Anolis sagrei: one gene and its partners. The protein of the gene in region 1 purifies or fractionates together with the protein of each later gene. This does not show direct contact. Links are inferred from orthologs where the notes say so. Each region holds a gene or a part of one and is shown in the gene's direction. Other genes may lie near its edges. The genes, in order: DDX6, NUFIP2, ATXN2L and PATL1.

The links.
Region 2: the proteins of DDX6 (region 1) and NUFIP2 purify together in Homo sapiens (affinity purification with mass spectrometry; 6 studies listed by BioGRID and IntAct, counting the BioPlex papers as one, with this or other methods). This does not show direct contact. The link is inferred for Anolis sagrei from reciprocal best matches to the Homo sapiens genes DDX6 and NUFIP2.
Region 3: the proteins of DDX6 (region 1) and ATXN2L purify together in Homo sapiens (affinity purification with mass spectrometry; 6 studies listed by BioGRID and IntAct, with this or other methods). This does not show direct contact. The link is inferred for Anolis sagrei from reciprocal best matches to the Homo sapiens genes DDX6 and ATXN2L.
Region 4: the proteins of DDX6 (region 1) and PATL1 purify together in Homo sapiens (affinity purification with mass spectrometry; 6 studies listed by BioGRID and IntAct, with this or other methods). This does not show direct contact. The link is inferred for Anolis sagrei from reciprocal best matches to the Homo sapiens genes DDX6 and PATL1.

The regions. Positions count from the first base shown.
Region 1 is NC_090027.1:43,713,493-43,721,379, reverse strand, and holds the start of DDX6 (probable ATP-dependent RNA helicase DDX6), read left to right. Parts: upstream 1-4,870; 5' UTR 4,871-5,076; intron 5,077-7,887.
Region 2 is NC_090031.1:34,092,722-34,099,569, forward strand, and holds the start of NUFIP2 (FMR1-interacting protein NUFIP2), read left to right. Parts: upstream 1-3,829; 5' UTR 3,830-4,040; coding exon 4,041-4,359; intron 4,360-6,848. UniProt on the Homo sapiens protein: Binds RNA.
Region 3 is NC_090026.1:22,718,059-22,725,820, reverse strand, and holds the start of ATXN2L (ataxin-2-like protein), read left to right. Parts: upstream 1-4,752; 5' UTR 4,753-5,718; coding exon 5,719-5,990; intron 5,991-7,762. UniProt on the Homo sapiens protein: Involved in the regulation of stress granule and P-body formation.
Region 4 is NC_090021.1:234,834,485-234,842,014, reverse strand, and holds the start of PATL1 (protein PAT1 homolog 1), read left to right. Parts: upstream 1-4,525; 5' UTR 4,526-4,599; coding exon 4,600-4,614; intron 4,615-7,530. UniProt on the Homo sapiens protein: RNA-binding protein involved in deadenylation-dependent decapping of mRNAs, leading to the degradation of mRNAs. Acts as a scaffold protein that connects deadenylation and decapping machinery.

The DNA.
Region 1 (7,887 bases):
GCAAATTCTAGGCTGGGTCAAGGAGCTCTTTTGTCCCCACTTGTTGGACGAGATTTCCCTGAGGAACAGGTCTTGCAAAGTCAAGGCAGCCATTGATGGAGTCTAATCATCATCATCATCATCATCATCATCATCATCATCATCATCATCTATATAAATAAAAATGTAATGTTCGTTTGTGGGATTAACAGAATTCAAAAACCACTGGGGGAATTGACACCAAATTTGAACAACATACACTTAGCAACCCAATGTGTGTCCTTCACTCAAAAAAAATAGACCTTGACACTTGGGAGTTGTAGCTGCAGGGATTTATAGTTCACCTACAATCAAAGAGCATTTTGAACTCCACCAATGATGAAATTGTTGTTTAGCTGTTATAATTTTAGAGTTTTTTAACACTGGTAGCCAGATCCTCCTCACCTTCATGTCCCCCCCCCCCCCCGCTGAAATTGTCGGACTACACAGAGAAGCCATTGAAATCCACAAGCATGTGGACAATTTCAGCGGGGGGGGGGGGGGGCATGAAGGTGAGCAGGATCTGGCTACCAGTGTTAAAAAACTCTAAAATTATAACAGCTAAACAACAGAGAGGAAAAAACCAGGCACAGATTAACACCTCCCAGCAACAGAATTTCCCAGGCTCAGGCAGGCCTTCAAATGCTAATGAAGGTGATCAGCTAAACATTCACACCTAACTGCAGCAGGGAAGAGCTCCTTGCCCCACCCCAGCCATTCCACATATATAAACCCATTGTCCTAATTCCAACAGACCTCACACCTCTGAGGATGCTTGCCATAGATGCAGGCGAAACGTCAGGAGAGAATGCCTCTAGAACATGGCCATATAGCCCGAAAAAACCCACAAGAACCTAATAATAATAATAATAATAATAATAATAATAATAATAATATGGTTTTCTGGCATTGTATATTTCTGCCGCTTTTGTGATTGTTATTTTGATTCTGTAGCCCACTTGTTGATAGATGTCCAGAATCAGCAGCATCCACCACGGTCTTTTTTATCCTGGGCATTGGCTGAGCCAGTATAGACTTTGTTTTGGTTTGCTTCTCCATAACACTAATGGGTTAGGTGCTCTTGGTTCCAATCTCAGCTGAGACCTCTCTGGCTTGGTTGGACCTGCTGGGAGTTGACAAGGAGAAGACCTGGTGATGGCTCACAAATGGAATCCTGAAGAAGGAGACAGAAGAAGGCCTTGTCGAAGGCTTTCATGGCCAGAATCACTGGGTTGTTGTAGGTTTTTTCGGGCTATATGGCCATGGTCTAGAGGCATTTTCTCCTGACGTTTCGCCTGCATCTATGGCAAGCATCCTCAGAGGTAGTGAGGTCTGTTGGAACTAGGAAAAAGGGTTTATATCTCTGTGGAATGACCAGGGTGGGACAAAGGACTCTTGTCTGCTGGAGCTAGGTGTGAATGTTTCAACTGACCACCTTGATTAGCATTTGATGGCCTGGCAGTGCCTGGGGCAATCTTTTGTTGAGAGGTGATTAGATGATTAGGTGATTAAAAACCATTGCAAAAAAAAAAATCAAATCATTAAAATAGATTCAACTGCCAACTTTAATAACAAATTAAATAAAACTTTCCCCCTCCTCTCTATGAATTCAACTGCACAGAAATTACTTTAAAATAATAGATTAAACTGCCTCCTTTTCTCTTTTGTATACATTCAACAAAATAGATTAAAAATATATTTAAAATTAAAAAATAGATTAAAATCCATCCTTTTATATTTTTTTCCTTTCTTTCTTGTATGAATTCAAATGCAAAAAATTATATAAATTTTTAAATAAACCACCAACTTTTCCCCTCCTTTCTATGAATTCAACTGCACAGAAATTACTTTTAAAAAATAGATTAAACTGCCTCCTTTTTTCTCTTTTGTATAAATTCAACAAAATAGATTTAAAATTTAAAAATAGATTAAAATCCATCCTTTTTTCCTTTTTTTTTTCTTGTATGAATTCAAATGCAATATATATAAACATCAAAAAAACCAAGATTATGGCAACAAGAATGATTGACAACTGGGAAATAGAGGGAGAAAATGTGGAGGCCGTGACAGGGTTTGTATTTCTAGGCGCAAAGATGAGTGCAGATGCAGACTGTGGCCAGGAAATCAGAAGACGCTTCCTTCTTGGGAGGAGAGCAATGTCCAGTCTCGATCAAAGAGTAAAGAGCAGAGACATCAGACTGGCAACCAAGATCCATTGCCTAGTCCAAGCCATGGTCTTCCCTGTAGTCACCTACGGATGTGAGAGCTGGACCTTAGGGAAGGCTGAGTGAAGGGAGAGAGATGCTTTTGAGCTGTGGTGTTGGAGGAAAGTGCAGAGAGTGCCTTGGACCGCGAGAAGATCCATCCAGTCCATCCTCCAGGAAAGAAAGCCCGGCTGCTCACTGGAGGGAAGGAGACTAGAGACCAAGAGGAAGTCCTTTGGCCACATCATGAGGAGACAGCAAGGCCTAGAGAAGACAATGATGCTGGGGAAAGTGGAAGGCAAAAGGAAGAGGGGCCGACCAAGGGCAAGATGGAGGGATGGCATCCTTGAAGGGACTGGACTGACCTTGAAGGAGCTGGGGGTGGTGACGGCCGACAGGGAGCTCTGGCGTGGGCTGGTCCATGAGGTAACGAAGAGTCGGAGGCGAGTGAACGAATGAACAACACACACACACACACACATATATATATATAACTAGCGGTCCCCTGCCACGTGTTGCTGTGGCCCGGTCTGGTGATCTGGAAAATAAAGTAATGAGAAAGTGTTGGTTTCTAATATCTGTCATGTCTTTCTGCTTGTGGGTAAACAGTATTTCTTCTTGTTTCTTTGTCAGTGTTGATGTGGAGAGTGTCTGGTTTGCCTACTCTGGAACATGCAACATATCATTGTCCTTCTTTAGGAGTCCCTTTCAGATCTTTGATACTGCATCTGTCATATACATATATGTGTGGGTGTGAATTCCTGGATGGCCCTTTGTCAGGAGGACTTTGATTATGTTTTCTTGCCCTGGTGAAGGGAGTTGGACTGGATGGCCTTAAGGTAGCATTTCTCAACCTGGGAAGTCAATACCGGGGGGGGGGGGGAGGTCACGAGGGGGGTGTTAGAAAGGTCACCAAAGACCACCAGGAAACACAGAATTTTCTGTTGGTCATGGGGGTTCTGTGTGGGATGTTTGGCCCAATTCCGTTACTGGTGGGGTTCAGAATGCTCCTTGATTGTAGGGGAACTATAAATCCCAGTAACTACGATTCTGAAATGTCAAGGTCTATTTCCCCCAAACTCCATCTGTGTTTATACTTGGGCATATTGAGGCTTCGTGCCAAGTTTGGTCCAGATCCATCATTATTTGAGTCCACAGTGCTCTCTAGATGTAGGTGAACTACAACTCCAAAACCCAAGGACAATGCCCACCAAACCCTTCCAGTATTTTCTGTTGGTCATGGGAGAACTGTGTGCCAAGACTGGTTCAATTCCGTTGTTGCTGGAGCTCAGAATGCTCTTTGATTGTAGGTGAACTATAACTCCCAGCTACTACAACTCCCAAGTGTTAAGGTTATTTTCTCCAAACTCCACCAGTGTTCACATTTGGGCATATTGAGTATTTGTGTAGTTTGGTCCAGATCCATCATTGTCTGAGTGCACAGTGTCCTCTGGATGTAGGTGAACTACAACTCCCAAACCAAAGGACACTGCCCTCCGAACCCTTCCAGTATTTTCTGTTGGTCATGGGAGTTCTGTGTGCCAAGATTGGTTCAATTCCATCATTGGTGGAGTTCAGAATGTTTTTGATTGTAGCTGAACTATAAATCCCAGCAACTACAACTCCCAAATGACAAAATCATCTTTTTTTGAGTGATCGTCACTCCTTGTGTAGTGAGACGTTTTGTTGCCAAATTTGGTGTGATTTCGTTCATTGGTTATTTTGTTTTTAAGATACTCATTATGCACAGAGAATATAGATAGATAGATAGATTGATTGATTTTTAGATATAGATAGATAGATAGATAGATATAGATAGAAGATAGATAGATAGAGATAGAAGATAGATAGATATAGATAGATAGATAGCGATAGATTAGATAGATAGATATAGATAGATAGATTAGATGGATAGATTGTTGTTGTTCATTCGTTCAGTCGTCTCCGACTCTTCGTGACCTCATAGACCAGTCCACGCCAGAGCTCCCTGTCGGCCGTCACCACCCCCAGCTCCTTCAAGGTCAGTCCAGTCACTTCAAGGATGCCATCCATCCATCTTGCCCTTGGTTGGCCCCTCTTCCTTTTGCCTTCCACTTTCCCCAGCATCATTCTCTTCTCTGGATAGATTAGATAGATAGATAGATAGATAGATATAGATAGATATAGATAGATTAGATGGATAGATAGATTAGATAGATTGATAGATAGATATAGATAGATTAGATAGATATAGATAGATTAGATAGATAGATTGATAGACATAGATAGATTGATAGATTAGATAGATAGATATAGATAGCGATAGATAGAGATAGATAGAGAAAGATATAGATAGAAGATAGATAGATAGATATAGATAGAAGATAGATAGATATAGATAGTAGATAGATATAGATAGAAGATAGATAGATAGATAGATAGATAGATAGAGAGAGAGAGAGAGAGAGATTAGCTGCTTCCTTCCTCTCCTTGCAACCCAAACAAAACGAAAAGGGGGCGTGCCCTTCACGAAGCCCCGCCCACGGCAGCTCTCCCGAGCCACTCAGAGGCGAGGCCCGAGCCGCCCTGTCGCCCCGCCCCCTTTTGGCAAGGCGCGCGTGCGCAGTGGGCAGTAGGCGGGGCCTGGTGGAGAGGAAGGACGCAAGGGAAGGAGGAGGAGGAGGAGGAAGGAGGGAGAGAGCGGCCATCTTGTTGTCGCGTCGCTGTTGCTGCCGCTGCCGTCGCCGCCGCCTCCCAGGCCGCCATCGTCCCGAAAGGAGCCAGCGGCCGAGGGCGGAGGCGCGGGAGCGCGAGAGCGGAGGGGGGAGCCCAGGGGCCGCAGCCGGAGGAAGGAGCCACAGCCGGGCGCGGGCGGGTAAGCTCCAACCCAGGCTCGAGGCCTGACGAGGGAAGGGAGGCCTCGCTGAGGGAAGGCCAGGGAAAGGGAAGCGGGGGGAAATGCAAATGGCGCCGCTTCCGGTCGGGGCTCGAAAGGGAGAGACGTCCCTCCTGAGTCAGGCCTCGCTCCTGACTCTCTGAGGGAGGTGCGGCCTAGCGGGGGAAGCGCATCCCCGGCCTCGCGTGGCGCGCTTCCCCGCCCAGCACGCACCCTGGCTCGGCCTCGCCTTCCCGCCCCCTCCCGCTCCCCCTTCTTTTTCTCCCACAAACTCTCCCCATTTCTTCTCTCCATCCCCAATTTCGGGATGCAGCCGACCTTTGTTTGCGCCCTCAACTCTTTTGGCGAAAGGGGCGTATCCTAACACAATATACAACAACATAATAATATTAATATAATGCTAATATAATAATAATAATAATAGTAATATTAACTGTATTTATACCCCGCTACCATCTCCCTAAGGGAGCCCACAGCACATCAGTAAACAAAAGCAATAGCAATAATCAATACAAAACAGTTAATATACACAATATACAATTATTATTCTTATATTAACCACAATATACAACACTATAGTAATACTAATATAATGCTAATATAATAATAACTTTATTTGTACCCCACTGCCATCTCCCTAAGGGAGCCCACAGCACATCAATAACAAAAGCAATAACAATAATCAATACAAAACAGTTAATATACACAATATACAATTATTCTTATTATTAACCACAATATACAACACTATAGTAATACTAATATAATGCTAATATAATAATAATAACTTTATTTGTACCCCACTGCCATCTCCCTAAGGGAGCCCACAGCACATCAATAACAAAAGCAATAACAATAATCAATACAAAACAGTTAATATACACAATATACAATTATTCTTATTATTAACCACAATATACAACACTATAGTAATACTAATATAATGCTAATAATAATAATAATAATAACTTTATTTGTACCCCACTGCCATCTCCCTAAGGGAGCCCACAGCACATCAATAAACAAAAGCAATAGCAATAACCAACACAATATACTATTATTATTATTGTTATTATTAACTTTATTTGTACCCCGCTAGCATCTCCCGAAGGACTCGATGCGGCTTACACAGGCCAAGGCCTGAATAAAAACACAGCATAACAACAATATAGTAATACTAATATAATGCTAATATAATAATAACAATAATAATAACAAATTTATTTGTACCCCGCTAGCATCTCCCTAAGGGAACCCACAGCACATCAATAAACAAAAGCAATAACAATAATCAATACAAAACAGTTAATATACACAATATACAATTATTATTATTGTTATTATTAACCACAATATACAACGCTATGGTAATACTAATATAATGCTAATATAATAATAATAATAATAATAATAATAACTTTATTTGTACCCTGCTACCATCTCCCTAAGGGAGCCCACAGCACATCAATAACAAAAGCAATAACAATAATCAATACAAAACAGTTAATATACACAATATATTATTGTTATTAACCACAATATACAACACTATAGTAATACTAATATAATGCTAATATAATAATAATAATAACTTTATTTGTACCCCGCTACCATCTCCCCAAGGGAGCCCACAGCACATCAATAAACAAAAGCAATAACAATAATCAATACAAAACAGTTAATATACACAATATACAATTATTATTCTTATTATTATTAACTTTATTTGTACCCCGCTAGCATCTTCCGAAGGACTCGATGCAGCTTACACTAGGCCAAGGCCTCAATAAAAACATAACATAACAACAATATAGTAATACTAATATAATGCTAATATAATAATAATAAAAATAATAATAATAATTGTATATTGTGTTAGGAGATGGTAGCGGGGTACAAATAAAGTTGTTGTTATTATTAACTTTATTTGTACCCCGCTAGCATCTCCTAAAGGACTCGATGCGGCTTACACAGGCCAAGGCCTCAATAAAAACGTAGCATAACAACAATATAGTAATACTAGTATAATGCTAATATAATAATAATAATAATTGTATATTGTGTTAGGAGATGGTAGTGGGGTACAAATAAAGTTGTTATTGTGTATTGTGTTGGGGAGATGGTAGCAGGGTACAAATAAAGTTGTTGTTATTATTATTATTATTAACTTTATTTCTACCCCGCTAGCATCTCCCGAAGGACTCAATGCGGCTTACACAGGCCAAGGCCTCAATAAAAACATAGCATAACAACAATATAGTAATACTAATATAATGCTAATATAATAATACTAATAATAACTTTATTTGTACCCCGCTACCATCTCCCCAAGGGAGCCCACAGCACATCAATAAACAAAAGCAATAACAATAATCAATACAAAACAGTTAAAATAAAAACTCAAAAACAAAAAATACACAATAAACAATAATAATATCAAAACATACAGAATTTAAAAAAGGATGGCAGGGCCAAATGTAATAATTAAATTAACAAATGTAATAATATTAACATAATACTAAAAATAATAATAAGACTTGTCCCCTGTGTTAAGCTAATAATATATATATTCATATAATAATCTTATATAAATATGTAATGTTCATTTGTGGGATTAGCAGAACTCAAAAACCACAGGACGAATTGACACCAAATTTGGACACAAGACACTTAACAACCCAATGTATGTCCTTCACTAAAAAAAAATTGATTTTGTCATTTGGGAGTTGTAGTTGCTGGGATTTATAGTTTACCTACAATCAAAGAATATTCTGAACCCCACCAACGATG
Region 2 (6,848 bases), on another chromosome or scaffold:
GAGAGAAGAAAGGAAAGAAAGAGAAGAAGGAGATGAAGAGAGAAGGAAGGGAGGAAGGAAAGAAAGAAAGAAAGAAAGGGAGGAGAGAGTGAAAGAAGGAACGAAAAATACAAGAGAGAGAGGAAAGGAAGAGAAAAAGGAGAGCAAGAGAAAGGAAAGACGGAGAGGAAAAGAGAAGGAAGGAAAGAGAAAGGGAAGGAAGAAAGATGGAAAGAAAGAGAAAGGAAAGAAGGAGAGGAAGAGAGAAAAGAAAGAGGAAGGCAAGAAAAAGGGAGAAAGGAAATAAAGGAAAGAAGAAGAGGAAGAGAGAAGGAAGGAAAGAGAAAGAGAAGAAGGAGCAGAAGAGAGAAGGAAGGAAAGAGAGAAAGGAAAGGAGAGGAAGAGGAGAAGAAAAGGAAGAGAGAAGGAAGGAAAGAGAAAGGAAAGGAAGAGAAGAAAAGGAAGAGAGAAGGAAAGAAAGAGAGAAAGGAAAGAAGGAGGGGAGAAGAGACTGGAAATATGGGAAGAGAAAAAAGAAAAAAGAAGGGGAGAAAAAGGGAGGATGGAAAGAAAGAGAAAGAAAAAGAAAGAGGGAGGAGAGAGTGAAAGAGGAAGGAAAGAAAAATACGAGAGAGAGGAAAGGAAGAGAAAAGGGAGAAGGAAAGGAAGGAAAGAAGGAGAGAAAAAGAAGGAAAGAAAGAGAAAGGAAAGGAGGAGAGAAAACGAAGGAGAAGAAGGAGAGGAAGAGAGAAGGAAAGAAAGAGAAAGGAAAGAAGGAAAGGAAGAGGGACAGGAAATATGGGAAGAGAGAAAAGAAAGGAAGGGGAGAAAAAGAGAGGAAAGAAAGAAAGAAAGAGGGAGGAGAGAGTGAAAGAGGAAGGAAAGAAAGAAAAACAAGAGAGAGAGGAGAGGGAGAGAAAAAGGAGAGTAGGAGAAAGGAAAGAAGGAGAGGAAAAGAGGAAGAAGAAAAGGAGAGAAAGAGAGAAGGAAGGGGAGAGAAAGGGAGGAAGGAGAGAAAGAGGGAGGAGAGAGTGAAAGAGGAAGGAAAGAAAGAAAAACAAGAGAGAGGGGAAAGGAGATAAAAAGGAAAGAAGGAGCCACCCCACAAAAGTCCCCGAAGGGTCCAGAAGAAGCAGAGCTTTTTCCACATCTGCCTTTCTCAGAAGAGGAGGAGGATGAAAGAGAAAGGGAAGAAAGATGGAAGGAAAGAGAAAGGAAAGAAGGAGAGGAAGAGAGAAAGGAGAGGAAAAGAGAAGGAAGGAAAGAGAAAAAGGAAAGGATAAGAAGAGAAGAAGGAAAGAGAAAGGAAAGAAGGAGAGGAGGGAAAGGAAAGGAAGAGAGAAGAAAGGAAAGAGAAAAAGAGGAAGAGAGAAGGAAAGAGAGAAAGGAAAGAAGGAGGGGATGAGGAGAAGGAAAGAGAAAGAGAAGGAGAGGAAGAGGAGAAGGAAAGAGAGAAAGGAGAGGAAGAGATAAGGAAGGAAAGAGAAACAGAAGAAGGAAAGAGAGAAAGGAAAGAAGGAGGGGAAGAGGAGAAGGAAAGAAAGAGGAGGAAGAGAGATGAAAGGAAAGAGAAAGGAGAGGAGAAGGAAAGAGAAAGGGGAGGAAGAGAGATGGAAGGAAAGAGAAAGGAAAGAAGGAGAGGAAGGAAATGAGAGGAACAGAGAAGGAAAGAAAGAGAAGAAGGCGAGACTGGAAATATGGGAAGAGAGAAAAGAAAGACGAAGGGGAGAAAAAGGGAGGAAGGAAAGAAAGAGGAAGAGGGAGGAGAGGGAGAAAGGAAGGAAAGAAAGAAAATCAAGAGAGAGAGGAAAGAAGGAGAGGAAAAGAGGAAAGAGAGAAAAAGGAAAGAAGGAGCCACCCCACGAAAGTCCCAGAAGGCTCCAGAAGAAGCAGAGCTTTTTCCACGTCTGCCTTTCTCAGAAGAGGAGGAGGAGGAGGAAAGAGAAAGGGAAGAAAGATGGAAGGAAAGAGAAAGGAAAGAAGGAGAGGAAGAGGGAAGAAAGGAAAGAGAAAGGAAGGGAGAGGAAGAGGAGAAGGAAAGAGAAAGGGGAGGAAGAGAGTTGGAAGGAAAGAGAAAGAGAAGAAGGATAGGAAGAGAGAAGGAAGAAAGGAGAAAAGGAAATGATAAGAAGAGAGGAAGGAAAGAGAAAGAAAAGAAGGAAAGGAGGAGAGAAAAGAAAGGAAGAGAGAAGAAAGGAAAGAGAGAAAGGGAGAGGAAAAGAAAGAAAGAGAAAGGGAAGAGGGAAGGAAGGAAAGAGAAAGGAAAGAAGGAGAGGAAGAGAGAAGGAAGGAAAGAGAGACAGGAAATATGGGAAGAGAGAAAAGAAAGAGAAAGAAAGAAGGAGGGAGGAGAGAGTGAAAGAGGAAGGAAAGAAAGAAAAACAAGAGAGAGAGAGAGGAGAGGGAGAGAAAAAGGAGAGCGAGAGAAAGGAAAGAAGGAGAGGAAAAGAGAAGGAAGGAAAGAGAGAAAGGAGAGGAAGAGAGAATGAAGGAAGGAGAAGGAAAGGAAGAGAGGAAGAAGAAAAGGAGAGGAAGAGAGAAGGAAGGGGAAAGGGAGGAAGAAAAGAAAGAGAAAGAAAGAGGGAGGAGAGAGTGAAAGAGGAAGGAAAGAAAGAAAAACAAGAGAGAGAGAGGAAAGGAAGAGAAGAAGGAAAGAAGGAGAGGAAAAGAGAAAGAGAAAAATGAGAGGAAGAGAGGAAGAAGAAAAGGAGAGGAAGGGAGAAGGAAGGGGAGAGAAAGGGAGGAAGGAGAGAAAGAGAAAGAGGAAAGAAAGAAAAACAAGAGAGAGAGGAAAGAAGGAGAGGAAAAGAAAAAGAGGGAAAGAGAAAAAAAAGGAAAGAAGGAGCCACCCCACGAAAGTCCCCGAAGGCTCCAGAAGAAGCAGAGCTTTTTCCACGTCTGCCTTTCTCAGAAGAGGAGGAGGAGGAGGAAAGAGAAAGGGAAGAAAGATGGAAGGAAAGAGAAAGGAAAGAAGGAGAGGAAAGGAGAAAGGAGAGGAAGAGAGAAAGAAGGAAAGAGAAAAAGGAAAGGATAAGAAGAGAGGAAGGAAAGAGAAAGGAAAGAAGGAGAGGAGGGAAAGGAAAGGAAGAGAGAAGAAAGGAAAGAGAAAAAGGAGAGGAAGAGAAGAAGGAAAGGAAGAGAGAAGGAAAGAGAGAAAGGAAAAAAAGGAGGGGATGAGGAGAAGGAAAGAGAAAGAGAAGGAGAGGAAGAGGAGAAGGAAAGAGAGAAAGGAGAGGAAGAGATAAGGAAGGAAAGAGAAAGAGAAGAAGGAAAGAGAGAAAGGAAAGAAGGAGGGGAAGAGGAGAAGGAAAGAAAGAGGAGGAAGAGAGATGAAAGGAAAGAGAAAGGAGAGGAGAAGGAAAGAGAAAGGGGAGGAAGAGAGATGAAAGGAAAGAGAAAGGAAAGAAGGAGAGGAAGGAAATGAGAGGAACGGAGAAGGAAAGAAAGAGAAGAAGGCGAGACTGGAAATATGGGAAGAGAGAAAAGAAAGAGGAAGGGGAGAAAAAGGGAGGAAGGAAAGAAAGAGAAAGGGGGAGGAGAGAGTGAAAGAGGAAGGAAAGAAAGAAAAAGAGAGAGAGGAAAGAAGGAGAGGAAAAGAGAAAGAAGGAAAGAAGGAGCCACCCCGCGAAAGTCCCCGAAGGCTCCAGAAGAAGCAGAGCTTTTTCCACGTCTGCCTTTCTCAGAAGAGGAGGAGGAGGAGGAGGAGGAAGGGGCGGGCACGCGCACTCCCTCCCTCCCTCCTTCTTCCCTCCTTCCTCTCTTCCTTCCTTGCCTTGCCTTGGGAAAGCGGAAAGAAGGAGGTGGGACCTAAAGAGAGACCGGAGAGGCTTCTGATTGGTCTGAAGGGGGAGGGAGAGAGGTGCCAATCAGGCGGGGGCGCGCTTGTCTTGGGCCCTGCGCGCGCTCCCGAGCCAACGAGGAACTGCTCCTTCTTCTCCTCCTATTTCTTCTCCTTCTTCTTCTGCTGCTACTGTTACTCCTCTGTGTATCTGTGTTGATACATTTTTGCTATTTTGTGGCAGAGAGAGAGAGAGAGAGCGAGCCAAGAGGGGGGCTTTTCAATGGAGGAGCAGCACCCTCTCCCTCCTTCCTCTGCATCGCACCACCATTCCCATCATCCCCACCACCACCACCATCACCACCACCACCACTACTACTACTACAACCACAACCACCACCAGCATCACCAGCATTACGAAGGAGGAGGAGGAGGAGGAATTGGAGGAGGAAGCAGCAGCAACCATGGGGCCAATGGGAATGAGAGGAAGGCCCCTTTGGCCCCACAGAGGAACCCCAAACACGACCCCAGGAACGGGGGGACAGTGGGGAGCTTTGGGGGGAACCCCCAAGCCGCCCAGGAGCCGACCCGAAGGAGAACAGGTGGGTTTTCCGCGGGGGAGTAAACCGTGCGTAAAAAGGCACCTCTCCAAAAAGGGACCCCTCTCCGAAGGAGAGGGGTCCCTTTTTGGAGAGGTGCCTTTTTACGCACGGTTTTTGGGGTACTTAACAACACCCCATCGAAACGATTTTTAGGGTGTTTATACATAAAACGATGGGGAACACGATCCCGTTGGAATGGGGTCGCTAGGGTGTACACGCGAGGCGTGGGAACGTCACGAAGAGGGTCCCCCTATCCCCCTCTCCATTTTTTCCCCTCTTTTGCGCCTTGGCTAGGCGCGGCCAAGGCGCACAGGAAAAGGTGGTTGTGGGGGGAAAAATACCGTCTTTTGGGGGGTCTGGAAAGGGAAATTCGCCCCCTATGGGTACAAGGGACTCTTGGGGGGATGTCTAAAGGATGGGGTGCCCGCTTTGGGGTCGGGAAAGGGGTGCAAAGCCAGGCCCAAAAGGCGCCTCTCCACGCGCCTTCCCAAGTCTCGCCCCACCCAAAGGGAAGCACAAGGGAAGAGGAATGGTATTTTTGGGGGAGGGTGGATTTGAAATATTTTTTGGGGGGTCTTTAGGTTTTCTATGGATGGAGGGAAGGTTTTGGGGTACCCTAAGTAGGGGGGAAAGGGGGGAAATAGAGCCAAAGGCGAAGGAAGAGAGCCAGGGAAAGGGGAGACCCTTCCACAACACCCCATATTTTTGGATAACTTATTGCCTTTCCAGAGGAAGATCAAGTCTGATTTTTTGGGGGGATACTTCAACAGCACCCCCATATTTTGGGGGGACACTTACTGTTTCAAGGCCAAGGAAGAGAGACATGGAAAGGGAAGATCCTTCCACAACACCCCATATTTTTGATAACTTATTTCCTTTCCTGAGGTTCAAGTCTGGGTTTTTTGGGGGGGATATTTCAACAGCACCCCCATATTTTGGGGGGACACTGTTGCAGTTTCAAGGCCAAGGAAGAGAGCCAGGGAAAGGGGAGACCCTTCAACAACACCCCCCATATTTTTTATAACTTAATTGCCTTTCCTGAGCTTCAAGTCTGGGTTTTTTGGGGGGTGATCCTTCAACAGCACCCCCATATTTTAAGAGGATCCTGTTACTGTTTAAGGGTCAAGGAAGAGAGACAGGGAAAGGGAAGATCCTTCCACAACACCCCATATTTTTGGTCAACTTATTTCCTTTCCAGAGGAAGATTAAGTCTGGTTTTTTGGGGGATCCTTCAACAGCACCCCCATATTTTGGGAGGACCCTGCTACTGTTTAAAGGCCAAGGAAGAGAGCCAGGGAAAGGGGAGATCCTTCCACAACTCCCCTATATTTTTGGATAACGTTTATTCCCAGCTACATCTGAGCTTGAAGGTTGGTTTTGGGAGGGGGGTCCTCCAACAGCACCCCCATATTTTGGAGGGACTGTTGCAGTTTCAAGGCCAAGGAAGAGAGCCAGGGAAAGGAGAGACGAATCAACAACACCCCATATTTTTGCATAACTTAATTGCCTTTCCAGAGAAAGATCAAGTCTTTTTATGGGGGATACTTCAACAGCACCCCCATATTTTGAGGGGACACTGTTACTGTTTCAAGGCCAAGGAAGAGAGCCAAGGAAAGGGGAAACTCTTCTATAACACCGCATATTTTTGACAACTTATTTCCTTTCCAGAGGAAGATTAAGTCTGTTTTTTTGGGGGAGAGGTCCTTCAACAGCACCCCCATATTTTGGGGGGACATTGTTGCAGTTTCAAGGCCAAGGAAGAGAGGGAAAGGGGAGACCCTTCCACAACACCCCATATTTTTGGATAACTTAATTGCCTTTCCAGAGGTTCAAGTCTGGGTTTTGTGGGGTGATCCTTCAAAAGCACCCCCATATTTTGGGAGGATTCTGTTGCTGTTTCAAGGCGAAGGAACAGAGCCAGGGAAAGGGGAGACTCTTCAACAACACCCCATATTTTTGGATAACTTAATTACCTTTCCAGAGCTTTAAGTCTGTGTTTTTTTTGGGGGGGGGATCCTTCAACAGCACCCCCATATTTTGAGAGGACATTGTTGCTGTTTTGCATTTCTTTAAGGGATGGATTCTAACACTTTTAGGGTGTCCCCTACTTTTTGGGAACCTTCCCAATGGAAAGAGAAGTTTTCTTGGGTACCCCCCCAAAAGGACTTTCAATGGGTCCCCGTTTCTCTTGGGACCCCGCTTTTTTCTTAACTTTCCAAAGAGACTCTCAAGGGTCCCCCTTTTTGTCTGTGTATCTTCCAAATGGGAAAAGGGGACTTTTAGAGGTCCCCCTTCTTGGGAATCTCTCCAAAGAGATAGGATTTCTTCCTTTCAAGGGGTCCCCCCACTTTTCTGTGTACCTTCCAGATGAGGGGAAAAGGGACTTTGGGCGGAGTGATTATAGGGTTCTTTCCCCTATATGTGGGATGGTTTGGGGCTCCCCCCCCCCCCACTTGAGTATCTTTGAGGCTTTAAATGGGGTTCCTATA
Region 3 (7,762 bases), on another chromosome or scaffold:
AATAATGGGCCATTGAATTCTGTCTTCTGACCGATATTGCTTTTAAGCATTAATGGTTCTGTATATCAAAATACTTTTAACGCTCTAAAATTCTAGCCAAAGATAGAGGAGGATACAATTTCGCCCACAACAAATTTTGGCTAGCTTGGTAGGACACCTACACATTGCCTTTAGATTCTTAGAAAGATGTCCACCTTTGTGCCAGCTTTCATCCAAAATGTAGTAATTATGAGATCTGTTTTCCAGACAGTTTTTATAGCATTGTTTCTAGGATATTTAATATTAATTAGCCAATCATACATTTCAGATGTATCACCTTTTGGGAATATTGGAGGTTTACACATCCCACATTATGTGTGCACTCTTCCAATTCGTTTCCATTGAGATTTTAGAAAGGTACGTGGCTATTTCTTAAGAGTCAATTCAAGACAACATTTTGCTGTTTAGTCCGGAGTATATGTAGAGGCAATGTTTCTTGCCTTTTTTTAAAGTCCTTAATTTTGAATAATTGGTGTTTTCTCCATGTTTATATTGATTACATTTTTCCAGATAAGAAGGGATGATTTAAGAGGAAACATGGGAAAATGATAGTATTGTAACAGTTGGTCATTGTTCCAATTTTCTCCCAGCCACTGCTATATTCTTCAGCTACCAAGTTGTCACATAAACTATCTATAGCAGGATCTCTGCTCTTATGTGTCTTCAAGTTGTTTCTGACTTATGATGACCCAATGGTGGGCCTATCACAGGGTTTTCATGGAAGAATTTGTTCAGAGGGGCTTTGCACTTGCCTTACTTCGAGGCGTGTGACTATGCTTGCTTTTTTTTTTTTTTGCACAGAATCTCTCCCACCTTGGTGTCCCCTTTCCAAACCTTAAGAAACTTATTTTCAATAATGTTGTGAATATTCTTGAATATTATTTTCATCTCAAGTAGTGTTCATCTGCAGCATTTACCAGAATTAATTAAATTCACTAACACTTTTACCTGTCAGAATCATAGCCTCTTCCAGACATATATTTACACATAAGTTTTTGTTTTGGGTAAGGTTTATTCACATGTTATATACATATAGGATTGCAGCACTAGCCTCCTATTAAAAACATCTTTTTTTAAAAAAAATCTTTATTGCAATTTTCTGTTAAAATATATCATAAAATATCCTAGAAAAGAAAAGAAAAGAAGAAGAAGAGGAGGAGGAGGAGGAGGAGGAGGAAGAAGAATTCGCCTGTCAGGAAAGAATTTGTTGTTGTTAACTGCCTTAAGTCAACTTTGATTTACGGTGACCCTATCAATGAGAGACCTCCAAGTCACCCTTACCAGTGATCCTGCTTCAGGCTTGCAAATGCAGGACTAACTTCCTTAACTGAATCTACCTGGAATGCAATTCTAAGCTGCATCAAGAGAGGTATACTAGATCAAGGGAAGTAATAGCTCTATCCTGCCTTGTTCACACCTCACCTGGAATACTATGTCCTTTTCTGGGTACCACAATTAGAGAAGGATGTGGTCAAGTAATCCTGAGAAGGGCAACTAGAATGATAAGAGATCTAAAAAACATGCTGTAAGGGGAGCGGCTTAAAAAGCTGAATATATTTAGCCTTCAGAATAGAAAATTGAGAGAAGACATGATAGCTATTAAGGGTGTGCAATTTTTTGTTAGTCTTTGTAAGTTGTATCAAATTTGTTGATATCCGACGTGCAGGCATGGCCCGCACCAAAAACTTAAGAATCAAAACCTACCCAATACTATTTCCTTTGAATATTTTAAATCTTGGAAGCCTCCCAAAATCAACTTCATTTTCAGCACAAACAAGCCAAGCCAAGCCATGCATAAATATGTGAAAAGGGGCAAACTTGTTTTTGCTGCTCCAGAGACTAGACTACAATGCAGCAATGGATTCAAATTCTCATGCCCATTCTAATCCACGTTATCAAAGCAGAAAATCCACATTCTCTGATTTGAGTGGATTATCTTAGACTGCACTGCCATATAGTCCAGTTCAAAGCAGATAGTGTGGATTAGAAGCCAGACTGCTATCAGGAGTGAATTACAGGGAGCTGTCTACCCCCGTTTAAGGAACTGAATTGGTTGCCATTAATCACCTACAAAGCCCTGGTTTGGGACCCAACTACCTTCGTGACCGCATTTCCTTTTACAATCCTGCGCAATCTCTTCAATCCTTGGGGGAGGCCCTCTTCTCGCTCCCATCTCCATCACAAGTGCGGCTTGTGGGGACGCGGGAGAGAGCCTTCTCCATTGTGGCCCCTCAGCTTTGAAATTCGCCACCTTGTGAGATTAGGCAAGCCCCCCACCCTGGCAGCCTTTAAGAAAGATCTAAAAACCTGGCTCTTCCATCATTTCCGTCCCACTTTCCCTTGTCTTTAATGAAGGCTCAATCCCACTGTTCGCCCCTTCTGAGCTCCCCCACAGACACATGTTGTTAATTCATTCAGTCGCTTCCGACTCTTCGTTACCTCATGGACCAGCCAACGCCAGAGCTCCCTATCAGCTGTCACCACCCCCAGCTCCTTCAGAGTCAAGCCAGTCACTTCAAGGATGCCATCCATCCATCTTGCCCTTGGTCGGCCCCTCTTCCTTTTTTCCTTCCATTTTCCTTAGCATCATATTTCTCCATTTACTTATCTCTCCCAGGGTTTTATCAGTCTTATTCTGTGCATTTAGCCCACCCACCGTGCTTTTATTTTATTTCTTCATCACTGTGTTTTGCATCTGTTTATATCATTTTCTGTTATTTAATTTTGTTGTTATTATTAGCATTTTATTTTATTGTACTGTAATTCTTGGCTTGACCTCATATTAGCTGCCCTGAGTCCCCTTCGGGAAGATGGTGGCGGGGTATAAATAAAGTTTAATAATAATATTATCTGCTTTGATAATCTGGATCAGGCATGGGCAAACTTCAGCTTTCCTCCTGGTGTTTTGGGCTTCAACTCTCACAGTTCCTACCAGCCTCAGGCCCCTTCCTTTTCCCCCTCAGCCGCTTAAGTCCTGAACCAGTGCTTGGTCGCTATAATGGACTGGATGAGGGACAACAGATTGAAACTTAATCCTGACAAGACAGAGGTACTCCTGGTCAGTCGAAAGGCCGAACAGGGCATAGGGTTACAGCCTGTGCTTGACGGGGGCACACTCCCCCTGAAGGCGCAGGTTCGCAGCTTGGGAGTGATCCTGGACTCATCGCTGAGCCTGGAGCCCCAGGTTTCGGCAGTGGTCAGGGGAGGTTTTTCACAATTAAAACTCGTGCGCCAGCTGCACCCGTACCTTGGGAAGTCTGACTTGGCCACGGTGGTCCACGCTTTGGTTACATCCCGATTAGATTACTGCAACGCTCTCTACGTGGGGTTGCCTCTGAAGACTAAGCTTCAATTAGTCCAACGTGCGGCAGCCAGGTTACTAACGGGAGCGGGGTACAGGGAGCATACTACTCCTCTGTTGCGCCAGCTCCACTGGCTGCCAGTCAGCTTCCGAGCACAATTCAAAGTGCTGGTCTTAACCTATAAAGCCCTAAACGACTCCGGCCCAATTTACCTGTCCGAATGTATCCTCCCCTATGAGCCATCAAGATTACTAAGATCATCTGGAGGGGCCCTTCTCGGTGGTGGCTCCTCGACTCTGGAACTCCCTTCCACTGGAGATCAGAACTGCCTCTTCGATCTTAACGTTCAGGAAACAGGTGAAAACCTGGCTTTGGGGATTGGCATTCAACGAATGAGCCATGATCCTGTGATATGGATGGATGACGACTAATAATGACTTTGATGACGACTGACCACTGTAATCATGATTGTATTTTTGACATTTTAATTGTTTCAATGTTTTAGTGTGATTTAGAAATATGATGTTTTAATGACGGTCTGTAATATTGATGTTGGAAACCGGCCCGAGTCCCTCGAATGGAGGTGAGAAGACTACAAAACTGCCGAATAAATAAATAAAATAATTAAGCGGCTGAGAGGGAAAAGGAAAGGGCCTGAGGCTGTTAGAAATTGTGGGGGTTGAAGTCCAAAACATCTGGAAGGGCCCAAGTCCAAAACACCAGGGCTTAAGCAGCTGAGGCGGAAGCAACTGAAATTCTCTAACAAAAAATGTGTTTTCCCCATTATTACAGATCTAATCTTATTATCTGTACTGTAACATACTCATATTTGTTAAAAATGTACTCTATAACACATTATAACTACGAATCTAAATACAAAGAAGGGGTGGCGTTGTCCTTGAGGTGGCTACGGCGCAACCCGCGTGACATTGAAGAACTGGGGTCACACGGGGTCAACGGCCTTCCAGCGACATCCGGGGCTTCAGCGCCTTGGCAGGAGGCCACGCCCCCCTAGCCATGCGCACTGCGAGGCTCCCAAAGGCTTATCCCTCCCTCCCGGCAGGTTTGTGCGCAAGCGCGGCGTTCCCACTTCCCTCTCTCTCGGGGTCCCGCGCCTGCGCACTCCGAACAGGCGATAACGAGGCAGGCCTGGGTCTTTGTTTCCTCTTGCGCATGTGTAGTGGGGGCCCTTACCGGAGGAACGCCTCCTTTCCCTTTCCCCCCCGCCCCCGCAGCCAGGAACCCGATCCTACACATTGGTCGGAGGGAGGAAGCGCTAGTGGGAGACGTAGGGAGGAGGAGGGAGGAGGGGCCGAGGGAGAGAGGGAGACGTAGAGAGCGTGCGTGTGCGCGCGCGGGAGAAGGAGGAGGGGCCGAGGGAGAGAGGGAGCGCGCGCGCCCTCTCTCGGCGCATGCGCAATCGCGAAGCCCCTCCTTCCACCAGGGACTCATTGTGCAGCAACCGGATTGACTCCTTCTCGTCCGCGCGGGCGCCAGCGGGATCCTGTACTACTTCCCTTTTTTCCTTAAAAGAGGGGGGGAAAAAAGAGGGGGAGGACAAAACAAAAAAATAACCACCTCTACAACCCGGCTCGACGGAAAACAAAAAAGGGGTTTGGAACCGTTTCGCGTCGGGAAAGGGGAAAAAAAGGGGGGTTGGCTTCTTCTCCCTCAGCGCCAACATCACCACTCTTCCCCCCGCCCCTCTCTCTCTCTCTCTCTCGCTTTGACTTCCTCCTTTTGCGCGTGCGCACACGGCTGACTTTCCCCCTCCTCCCCCAACCCCCACCTGCGCGGGTTTGAGCCTCTTCCTCGCGGCCTCTTGATTGGCTGAAGCGCGCGCGCTCGAGAAAGAGAGAGGGAGCGCGAGCCTTAGAACTTCTCTCCTTTCTCTCTCCTTCCCCCCTCCCCCCCCGCGACAAAAAAAGGGCAGGGCCAGGCGACCAATCAGAGGACGCGTCGCTCGCTCGCGCGCGAGCAAGCGTAAAAACCCGTTCCTTGGCCTCGAGGCCTACGTTGAAAAAGCGAAGGAACGAGCGCGCTCCCGACGCTCTGAGAGAAGGCAAGCAGGGAAGTCAGTCAGTCAGTGAGTCGCTCGCGCGCGCGCTAAGGCCTAGGCTAACGAAGGGCGGGAGTCGATTGAGGTTCTCTTCCTCCTCCTCCTTTAAGAACCCTCGTTTGTGACCACCCTCGCTGTCTTGTCTGTCTGTCAGTCAGTCAGCTAGGGAACTCCTTCGCCGGCCGGCTTCCCCTTCCGGGTTCAATTCGAACCTCCTCAAGGGAATCCTAGGCCTCAACGGCCTCCTGTGCGCCTGTGCTCAGGCAGGCAAGCCAGGCAGGCGGGCGGGCTCGGGAAGCTGAGCCTGTGGCGTCCGCCATGTTGAAGCAGCCGCTGCCGCCGCCCTCACCGCAACCCGCCCCTCCGGCTTCGGGCCCGGCGCCGGCCTCCGTGCCCACGCCGCCCCTCGCAGCCGCCGGCACCTCTTCGGCTACCGTCGCCGCCGCCTCACGGAAGGCCAACCCGCCGCCCGCCAGCCCCAACGGCAGCCTCAGCCCCGGCGCCGCGGGGGGAGCCCGGGTTGCCACTGTGGCGCCCCCCGGGAGCGGAGGAGGAGGTGGAGGAGGGACCCCGGGAGGAAGCGGGACGAGGTGGGTATCACTTTAATGTTACATCCGGGGAATTTGGGTACAGGGAGGGAGGGAGGTGCGTGGACGCGCAGTGAGGGGTTGAAGAGAGGACTTGGCCAGGCCGCGGGGAGGAGGGCGGGACCAAAGGAGTGTGCGGCCCTGATAAGCGGAGGCCCGAATTTCCGGGCGCTGATTGGGCTGCGCTCTAGCCAATGGGGTGCCCCGCCCCAGGGCGAGGGAGGGGGACAACATGGAGGGGGGCTCCCCTTGCAGAAATGGAAGACAGGCAGGGTTGGTGTGAGGTTTTCAGGCTTTATGGCCATGTCCCAGTAGCATCTATGTCAGGCCCTTTTCAGTGGTTCTCAACAGGCCCCTAGCCAGGATTTTGTTTCCGGGGGGTGGGGGGGGGGGCTGAGTCTGAGTGAAAGAGGGTCTGCCCTAGCAAACCTTTTGTATCATTAGGTTCTTGTAGGTTTTTTCGGGCTATAGGGCCATGTTCTAGAGGCTTTTCTCCTGACGTTTCGCCTGCACGTTTCGTCAGGAGAAATGCCTCTAGAACATGGCCCTATAGCCCGAAAAAACCTACAAGAACCTAGTGATTCCAGCCATGAAAGCCTTCAGCAATACTTTTGTATCATTACCCCAATACCCCCATGCATATGGGATATATTGAGCATGGTGATCATATCATGATATGAATAAACATAACAGTTTAAATAATGTACCAGGAAGGCCTTTTCGCGGACCACCATGAGAATTTGGGGGGGGGGGGAAGCCACCAAAGCCCCCCCCCCCCCCCCGCGGCTACATGCCTGGTTCTCAACCTGGGGTCCCCAGATGTTTCTGGCCTACAATTCCCAGAAATCCTAACAGCTGATAAACTGGCTGAGATTTCTGGGAGTTGTGGGCCAAAAACATCTGGGGACCCCAGGTTGAGAACCACTGCTTTAGGTGCTTTGGACTTTAACTCCCATGTAAGTTACACATATGTTACTGATCTCTGTTGCATCATAATAGACTCACCCAAGTCTTGTAGAACAAGGCTCTGCAATACATTTGAAATGCATTTTCAAAAGAAGTTATTATTATTATTATTAACTTTATTTGTACCCCGCTAGCATCTCCCGAAGGACTCGATGCGGCTTACAAAGGCCAAGGCCTCAAAACACAACATAACAATACAAAACCTAAAGCAAATTAAAAACAGTTAAAGCAATATTAAACAACAAGCAATAATCAGACATGGGCTAACTTCAACTCTCACAATTCCCAACAGCCTCTGGCTCTTTCCTTTTCCCCTTCAGTCGCTTAAGCATAGTATGTTTTGGGTTAAGCATACTATGAACCTCTCAGGACTTTAAGATCGTCTGGAGAGGCCCTGCTCTTGGTCTCGCCTTTGTCACAAGCACAGTTGGCGGGGACGAGAGACAGGGCCTTCTCAGTGGTGGCCTCTCGGCTATGGAACGCCCTCCCTAAGGACATCAGATCGGCCCCCTCCCTTTTAACATTTTGGAAGAGAGTTAAAACTTGGTTCTTTGAGTAGGCATTTGCAAATACAGAGTAACAGACATAGGAAAATGGAATGAATGACAATGTGACTGGACAATGTTTTTAATGAGGAGACCCTAATGATACGTATTTTTATTGATTCTGTCATGGTTTTATTATTCTATTGTTTTATTATATTGAAATTGTATTTTATGGTCTTGGTACCAACTGTAAACCGTCTCGAGTCACCTGCAGGCAGAGAGGGATGGTATATAAATATAGTAAATAATAAATAGTAAATAAAT
Region 4 (7,530 bases), on another chromosome or scaffold:
CACAGATATATAAACCAATTTTCCTAGTTTCAACAGACCTCACTACCTCTGAGGATGCTTGCCATAGATGCAGGCGAAACGTCAGGAGAGAATGCCTCTAGAACATGGCCATATAGCCCAAAAAACCTACAACAACCCACTATTTTTATAATCATTATTCACAAGCTATTGTACACATAGTCCTGAAATAATGTCCTGGGAGTTCAGTGGTGGTGTGGTTTGAATGTTGGACTATGATTTAGGGTTTGAATACCACGTAAAACCACTGGATGGTCTTTGGAGAGACAGTCTCTCAGAGGAAACTAAAGCAAACCACTGAAAAAGTATTGCAAAGAAAGCGCTAGGATAGGATCACACTAAGTCTGAGTCAGTTTGAAAACATAGAATAGCAACAACCTGGATTTGTCTTTAAAAAATTTCACCAGAGAGGTAGTGTGGAATATGGTTTGAACATATAACTACAACTCAGACCAGTGTTTGATTCCCTGTTCTTTTCTTGCTGTTAGTGATAAGCTACAGCAGGATCCAGTGTGGGGGTGGAACTAGGTAGCCCAAACAAAAATCAAAATCTAGATCTGAGTTCGAGGAGATGGTTTGTATAAGGAGAAGTGAAGATATCATTTCTCCTTATGAATTATATTTGTATGTTTTGTTCATCTTCATTCTAGTGATCAACACTGGTTGACATGTGTGCCACTTTGAGTCATAGCCCATGGACCAACACTGGTCTAGGAGCTATTTGATACTGTCAGCCACAGGTTTCCAAGGATGTCTCAAAGTGGGCTGTAATATTAGGGTTGGATAGTCTGAATGGCCCTGTTTATCCCAACTCTTCTGTGATGTAGGTTTCTCAGCCCTAGGGGTGAGAAAAATGGTATATAAATACTGTAAATAAATAAACAACTTATGGATGTTTTTCTTTTTCTCTTTTGCCAGTCTTCTCTCAGCTCCTCCTTAAAATGAAATTAGATTTAATCAGCAGCCTGATTAACTTTCTTATTTTAGGATGGAGTTCCTAGAATAAACCTTTTACTTTGTTTCTGCAAGCCATTAGTGTCTCCTCTTCTTCAGTAAGGATCTGTAACTGCGGCATGAACTCTCTATTAGTATAGGGATGGGAGGGAGATGCCAATCCCCAACATCAGATAGCCTGCAAAGCTTTCAACCCTTTATTGGCTCATACTGTCTGGCAGGGATGAAGCGAGGAGGAGGTCACCATTGCCTCCCCTATGGAATTTGGCTTCAACCTCTAAATTTCTAGCATTGCAGTCATTTAACCCTTCAGTTGGGCACTTAGAAATACAATTCAGTATCCAAAGAAAATAGGCACGCAAAGTTTTTATTAGGGAGAGTGATTTAATTTGTCCAAATGATAGCTACATTCCTGGGGAATTAATCAGAAAGGACAATTGCTTTTTTTCTTCTTCTTGGGGTGATTTCCTCATAGGAAACAAGCCTTAAAGGGTGTGATAAGCAACACCTGGAGCTTGTTAATTAAGAACAGAGAATGATGGAAGTTGTTCCAGATCTTCTTGAGAGGAGGGAAAATCCAGAGGCCAACATGGTCCAGAAAATGGGTCTTTATGAGAAGAGTGACCATTAAGTTGTTAAAAGGTGAGTAGAAGCAAAATAGTATATTATTTTATTAAGTCCCGATGTCTGGAGGTTTCATAGCCATGCAGCTAAATGGAGTTCAGAAGCTATAGGGGTTTCCTAGAGTTGCTGAAGGCTTTATGTAGCCTTTAGGTAGCACTTGACTTTTCCACCCCTGTCCTTCAATATGGCATCTAAGGAACCAACTAAAAACACTGTACTTTGACCATATGTGTTTGAAAACACAGAGTATGCATTAATAATAATAAAAAACTTTATTTATACTTTGCCGCCATCTCCCCAATGGGCACTCAGAGCGGCTTACATGAGGCCAAGCCCAAACACAAATTACAACAGCATAAAACTGAAAATGCAACCTGAAACCACAGACAGTAAACAATACCATCATAATTACATAAAGCATGTAAAAACACAACAGTATAAAATTACAATAAACACAATCACAGTGGCAATGGGTGGGCTACATGGAAAATTTAAAAGAAAAAAAAACTGATTAAAACTTGAGTGAGATAAAGAAGCCGGTTATTAATATGCAGATTGCTATTGAAGAGTAGGTAAGGGATGTTTTCATGACTGTTGGTACCTCTGCAACACCACAAGGTTTTTCTGGCCAAAAAAGGTGAATTTTTGTGCCCCGGAAGCCTCTAGCAGCAATAATATACCTTTCAAATAGACTGCAAGGCCTCCTTGCACTGTTTAGAACTGAAAATACCCAGAAGTGGAATTCCAATGTTTGGAGGGTTTTAGAGCATTAAAGTGGCCCTTCACATTGCCACAGTTACCCACCACTTAGGGTCCTTCAACATTGCCATATAAACCGGAATATCAATGCAGATAACCTACATTATTTACTTTGAACTAGATTAGCCAAGTCTACATTGCCATATAATCCACTTCAAAGCAGATAACATGGATTTTATACAGCTGTGTAGAAGAGGCCTTAATTTCTGCCCTCCAACTATCCTGGTTTTGCAGGGATTGTCCTGCTCAATCCTCTGTCCACCCACTGCTGCTTTTAAAACATTCCAGTTCTTCTCTATCTTCGATGTTCCCATTTTGTACTCAATTGCTAAGTTACAACAAACCGTGAAGTACGTACTTTAATTCAATTCAGTAGAGAGAGGAAAATGTGTGATCTTGTTTTTCTTAATAGGCAAAAGCAAACTGCTGCATCCTTTCCTTGCTTGCGTGGTCTTCCTCATTAGTAACGTTTTCTCTCATGGACAACTCTTGATGACATTTCCTCAAGAAAGGCCACACATTTCCCAATTTTCATGCGTGGAATGCTGTAAGAGTGATATTACATTCAAACATAATGCTGCAAGACGTGTGCCTCGACTTGCATCATAACTGTGGGTTCTAGAGTTACTGTGGGTTTCACAGGGTTCCAAACCTATGAAATGGGCCACCTATGGAGCAGTATATAAAATAATATACATTTTGGGTTGCTGTGAGTTTTCTGGGATGTGTGGCCATGTTCCTGAAGCATTCTCTCTTTACATTTAGCCCACATCTATGGCAGACATCTTCAGAGGTTGTGAGGTCTGTTGGAAACTAGGCCAGTGAGGTTTATATCTCTCTGGAATGTCCAGGGTCGGAGAAAGAACTCTTGCCTGCTTGAGGCAAGTGTGAATGTTGCAATTGATCATCTTGATGAGCATTTAATGTTCTTGTAGCTTCAAAGCCTGGCTGATTGCTGCTTGGGGGCATCCTTTGTTGGGAGGAATAACTTTTTCTGTGCAAAAGTCACAATTCTTCAAATCCTAAATAAAAATACATACTGAGATATTTGAATTGCAGGCAGTCCCCGAGCAACAAACATCCAACTTACAAACTATTCATATTTATAAAAACAGGGGTGAGGCAACAGGAAGTGAGAGAAATCTACCCCTCAAAAGCAAAATTCATTCCTGAAAGAATTTCCATGGGGGGAAAGTGTTCTAACTGAAGTTTTCTTGCCATTCCTTGTTTCCACAACAAGCCACATTTTTCAAAATCCAATTATCACAGCAACAGAAACTGAAGTGAAATCTTCATAACAGTGGCAGAGACAGCAAAACAAACACCACGGGGCTGTTAGCCCTTCCCTGTGCTAAAAAAAGAGCTAAATGCAGTATATTAGCTGGAATTACACTTACAAATGTATCTGTTCCAACTTACAAACAATTCAATTTAAGAGCAAACCTACTGAATCTATCGTTTGCAACTTGGGGACTGCCTGTATATGACTTCGAGGCATTTTTGGAAAAGTTGCCTTTTCTGGAATTAACTGGGGGCCCTTCCACACAGCCCTATATCACAGAATATCAAGGCAGAAAATACCACATTATCTGAGTGTGGACTCAGATAACCCAGTTCAAAGCAGATATTGTGCGTTATTCTGCCTTGATATTCTGGGATATTGGGCTGTGTGGAAGGGCCCTGGGTTATACGAGTCCAAACTGTGGGCCCTTCCACACAGCCCTATATCACAAAATATCTTTGAACTGGGTTATCTGAGTCCACACTCAGATAATGTGGGATTTCCTGCCTTGATATCCTGGGATATAGGGCTGTGTGGAAGGGCCCTGAGTCCACACTCACATAATGTGGGATTTTCTACCTTGATATTCTGGGATACAGGGCTGTGTGGAAGGGCCCTTGGATGTATTTTCCAGTGCTGTAATTTCTGTGTGATTTCAAGGCTTGTCGAGGAACTCAAACTAAAGCGCAGTAGATCGCCCCGCCCTAGAGGAAGAAAAACTAAGCGGTGTCCCTTTAAGACAGGACTCCTCCCTTAGAGGGGAAAAAGAAGCGCTTGCCCTTTAAATAGCGGGACTTGGGCGCCGGATGCGGGTGCTGGTGCGCATGCGCGCCGAAAGTAGCTACGCAAGAGGAATCCTTGCGTCCGCCCGGAGACGTCAAGACGCAGCACAGCGCAGCGGAGGGGGCGGGGGCCCGGGACTGAAGCGAGGGTCCGCGCGGAGCCTCCGCGCCCCGCCAGCCATGTTCCGCTACCAGGTGAGGAGAGGCCCCGGGAATCTCGTGGGCTGCCGGGCTTCCGGGGCCATTGGAGGCGGCGGCTCTATGGCTGCTTCTCCCTCAGCCTTGGGCCGAGGGAGGAGGTGGCGGCGGAGCGAAAGAGGTGACCTTTGACCCTCGGGGGGGGGGTTCCTGCCTAAGGAGGGCCGTAGCGGACAAAAGAGTTCCTTTCGCGCCCGCTCATGGTGTGATTTGGGCGCGAGCCCGTCTAGGCTTGGTGAAGGCGCGGAAAAGAGGGAGTCTGGGGTCTCTACGTTTGTGGCTTTTCTCTTCCTCCCGGTTCACATGCATCTCCTTTAGACATAACAGCAACCGAGAGGACGAGGTGCCATAGCAACGCCCCCCTCAAACTTTGTCGTCTCATCCTTAAACAAGCGGATAAACTAACAGTTGCCTTTAGGAAAGGGATCGTTTTGTTGCTAGGTCGGCTGAGGGGGGAAAGGAAGGGGCCTGAGGCTGTTAGGAATTCTGGGAGTTGAAGTCCAAAACACCTGGAGGGCCCAAGTTTGCCCAGGCCTGATATGCACTCTAGAATTGATCCTGTTTGATACTACTTGAACTGCCATGGCCCAATACTATGGAGTCATGGGAGTTGTAGTTTTGCAAGATCTTGGCCTTTTCTGCTAAAGAGCACCAAGGCCTTAGCAAACAACAATTCCCACTACTGCAGATATTTGCGCCAACAAAATACTTTTTGCAAAAAAAAAAAAAAGGTAAAAAGTAAGATTTTAAAAATATAGAGATAGGAAGTAAGCGATAATAATTTCTGTTTATAAGTGTATGCTATGCTTGATCTGTCTTGCTACCCTTTTGTTTTGAGAAGTGAAACCTCAAGCTTTGGAGAACATAGAAGGGAGAGAACTTTCTACAGTGGAGTAGATTGGATTCTGATGAAGCAGCAACTTGTGATGCTTGTGTTGTGAGCTAGTATGTATTGTAATCTGGGCATGCTAATACAAGGTGCTAGATCACCACTGGGACCACCTTTACTGGCTTGTGCAAGAGTCTTTGCAGGTTGATCTTTAAATCCTCATATGGTGTCAGCTTTTCCAGTTTCTCGACCCATACTTTGTTTTTTAACACGATCGTGAGGTCAGGAGTATTGTGCTCCAAACCTCTGGCTGTCTGAATTCGGAAGTCCCAGAGGAGTTTGACGTGTTCATTTTCTGGCTTGTGATCCCACCAGTTCTTTGTCGCAGGCAGATGGTATTTGTGGCACAAGTTCCAATGAATCATCTGAGCAACGATGTTATGCCTCTGCTTGTAGTCTGTTTGCATGATCTTCTTGCAGGAGCTGAGGATGTGATCTAGTGTTTCATCTGCTTCCTTGCAGAGTCTATACTTGGGATTATTATTATTAAGCAGTTTCCAACATAATAATGGCAAAATTCAATGCCATACATACACGTGAGACCAAAACATAATATCTAGACATTACATATAACTATAAAGTAAAAACATTAATCATATTAAAACATAAAGCACAAACAACATTCAGACATTAAAGCATCTTAGTATAAACATTAAAATCACATACAAAATTGGAATCCGAAGCCATTCCAGTTATCAATTGCACATATTCCCTATTCAATTCTTGCACTGCTCGCTGACCAAAGGCTTGGTCCCACAGCCAAGTCTTTTCTCTCTGAAGGCCAAGAGGGAGAGCGCTAATCTAATTTCACTGGGGAGGGAGTTCTACAGCTGAGAGGCTACCACTGAGAAGGCCCTGTCTCTCGTCCCCACCAACTGCAGCTGTGAAGAAGGTGAGATCGAAAGGAGGACCTTCCCAGAAGATCTTAAGCTCTCCATAAGATCTTAGCTTTAGGAATCATAGAGTTAGAGGAGACCTCAACGACCATCCAGTCCAACCCCATTCTGTCAGGCAGGAACACACGATCAAAAGAATCCCGATAGATAGCTTAAAAACCTCCAAAGAAGGAATCTCCACCACACACCAAGGCAGCATATTCTACTGCCAGACAGCTTTTGCCGTCAGGAAGTTCTTCCTAATGTGGAGTCTCTTTTCCTGTAATTTGAATCTGTTGCTCTGTGGCCTAGTCTCCAAAGAGCAGAAAACAATCTTAGTTTTCTCTTAGCTAAATTGTATGCCTACCAGCAATGCAAGAATCTAGGAGACTGTTTTATTATTTTTATTACTTCATTATTGTGATGGAAAAGCTTTTCCTACATATAATATATCTTGATTATGCAGTAAATTCTCACATGATAAGTTGTTGAAGCAATTCATCTTTCTCCCTGAGTACTGTGCCTGTGGCATGAATGGCATAAAGACCCCACACCAAGGCCCACCCTCCAGAATATTAGGTTCATGGCTGGTCTCCTGACTGCAAAAGTGATAACTAACAAAACTAATCTTTGCCCTAAGGCTTTAGATGAGATGGAGAGGAGTCTGAATTGATTAAATGCCTTTTGAATTCCCTTATTCCATTCTATCAAATGATAGTCCCTTTTATATTAGTTTTCCTCATCTGCCGGAACCTTCTGCCAGCAAGACTGTCTCTTCTATAATAGAACTCTGCGAAAATATTCAAAGACACAGCCAAATTAGTCTGGATTTTCAGTATGCAAAGGGATCTTTATAAATTGAAACAATTAAGGTAGTATAAGGTTTTGTAGACTGGATGTTCATCTACACTGTAGAGGTAATGCAGTTTGAAACCCCTTCACCTGCCATGACTATGAAATCATGAGAGTCATCATTTGGTGAGGCACCAGCACTCTTTGGCAGAGAAGGTTAAAGACCCTATAAAACTCCAATTGCCATGATTCTGTTGCATTGAGTGATGGCAATTAAACTGGTGTCAAACTGCATTACCTTTGCAGTGTAGATGTATTAGTCTACGTCCTCAGATCTGAAGATGTACCTGAGGAATT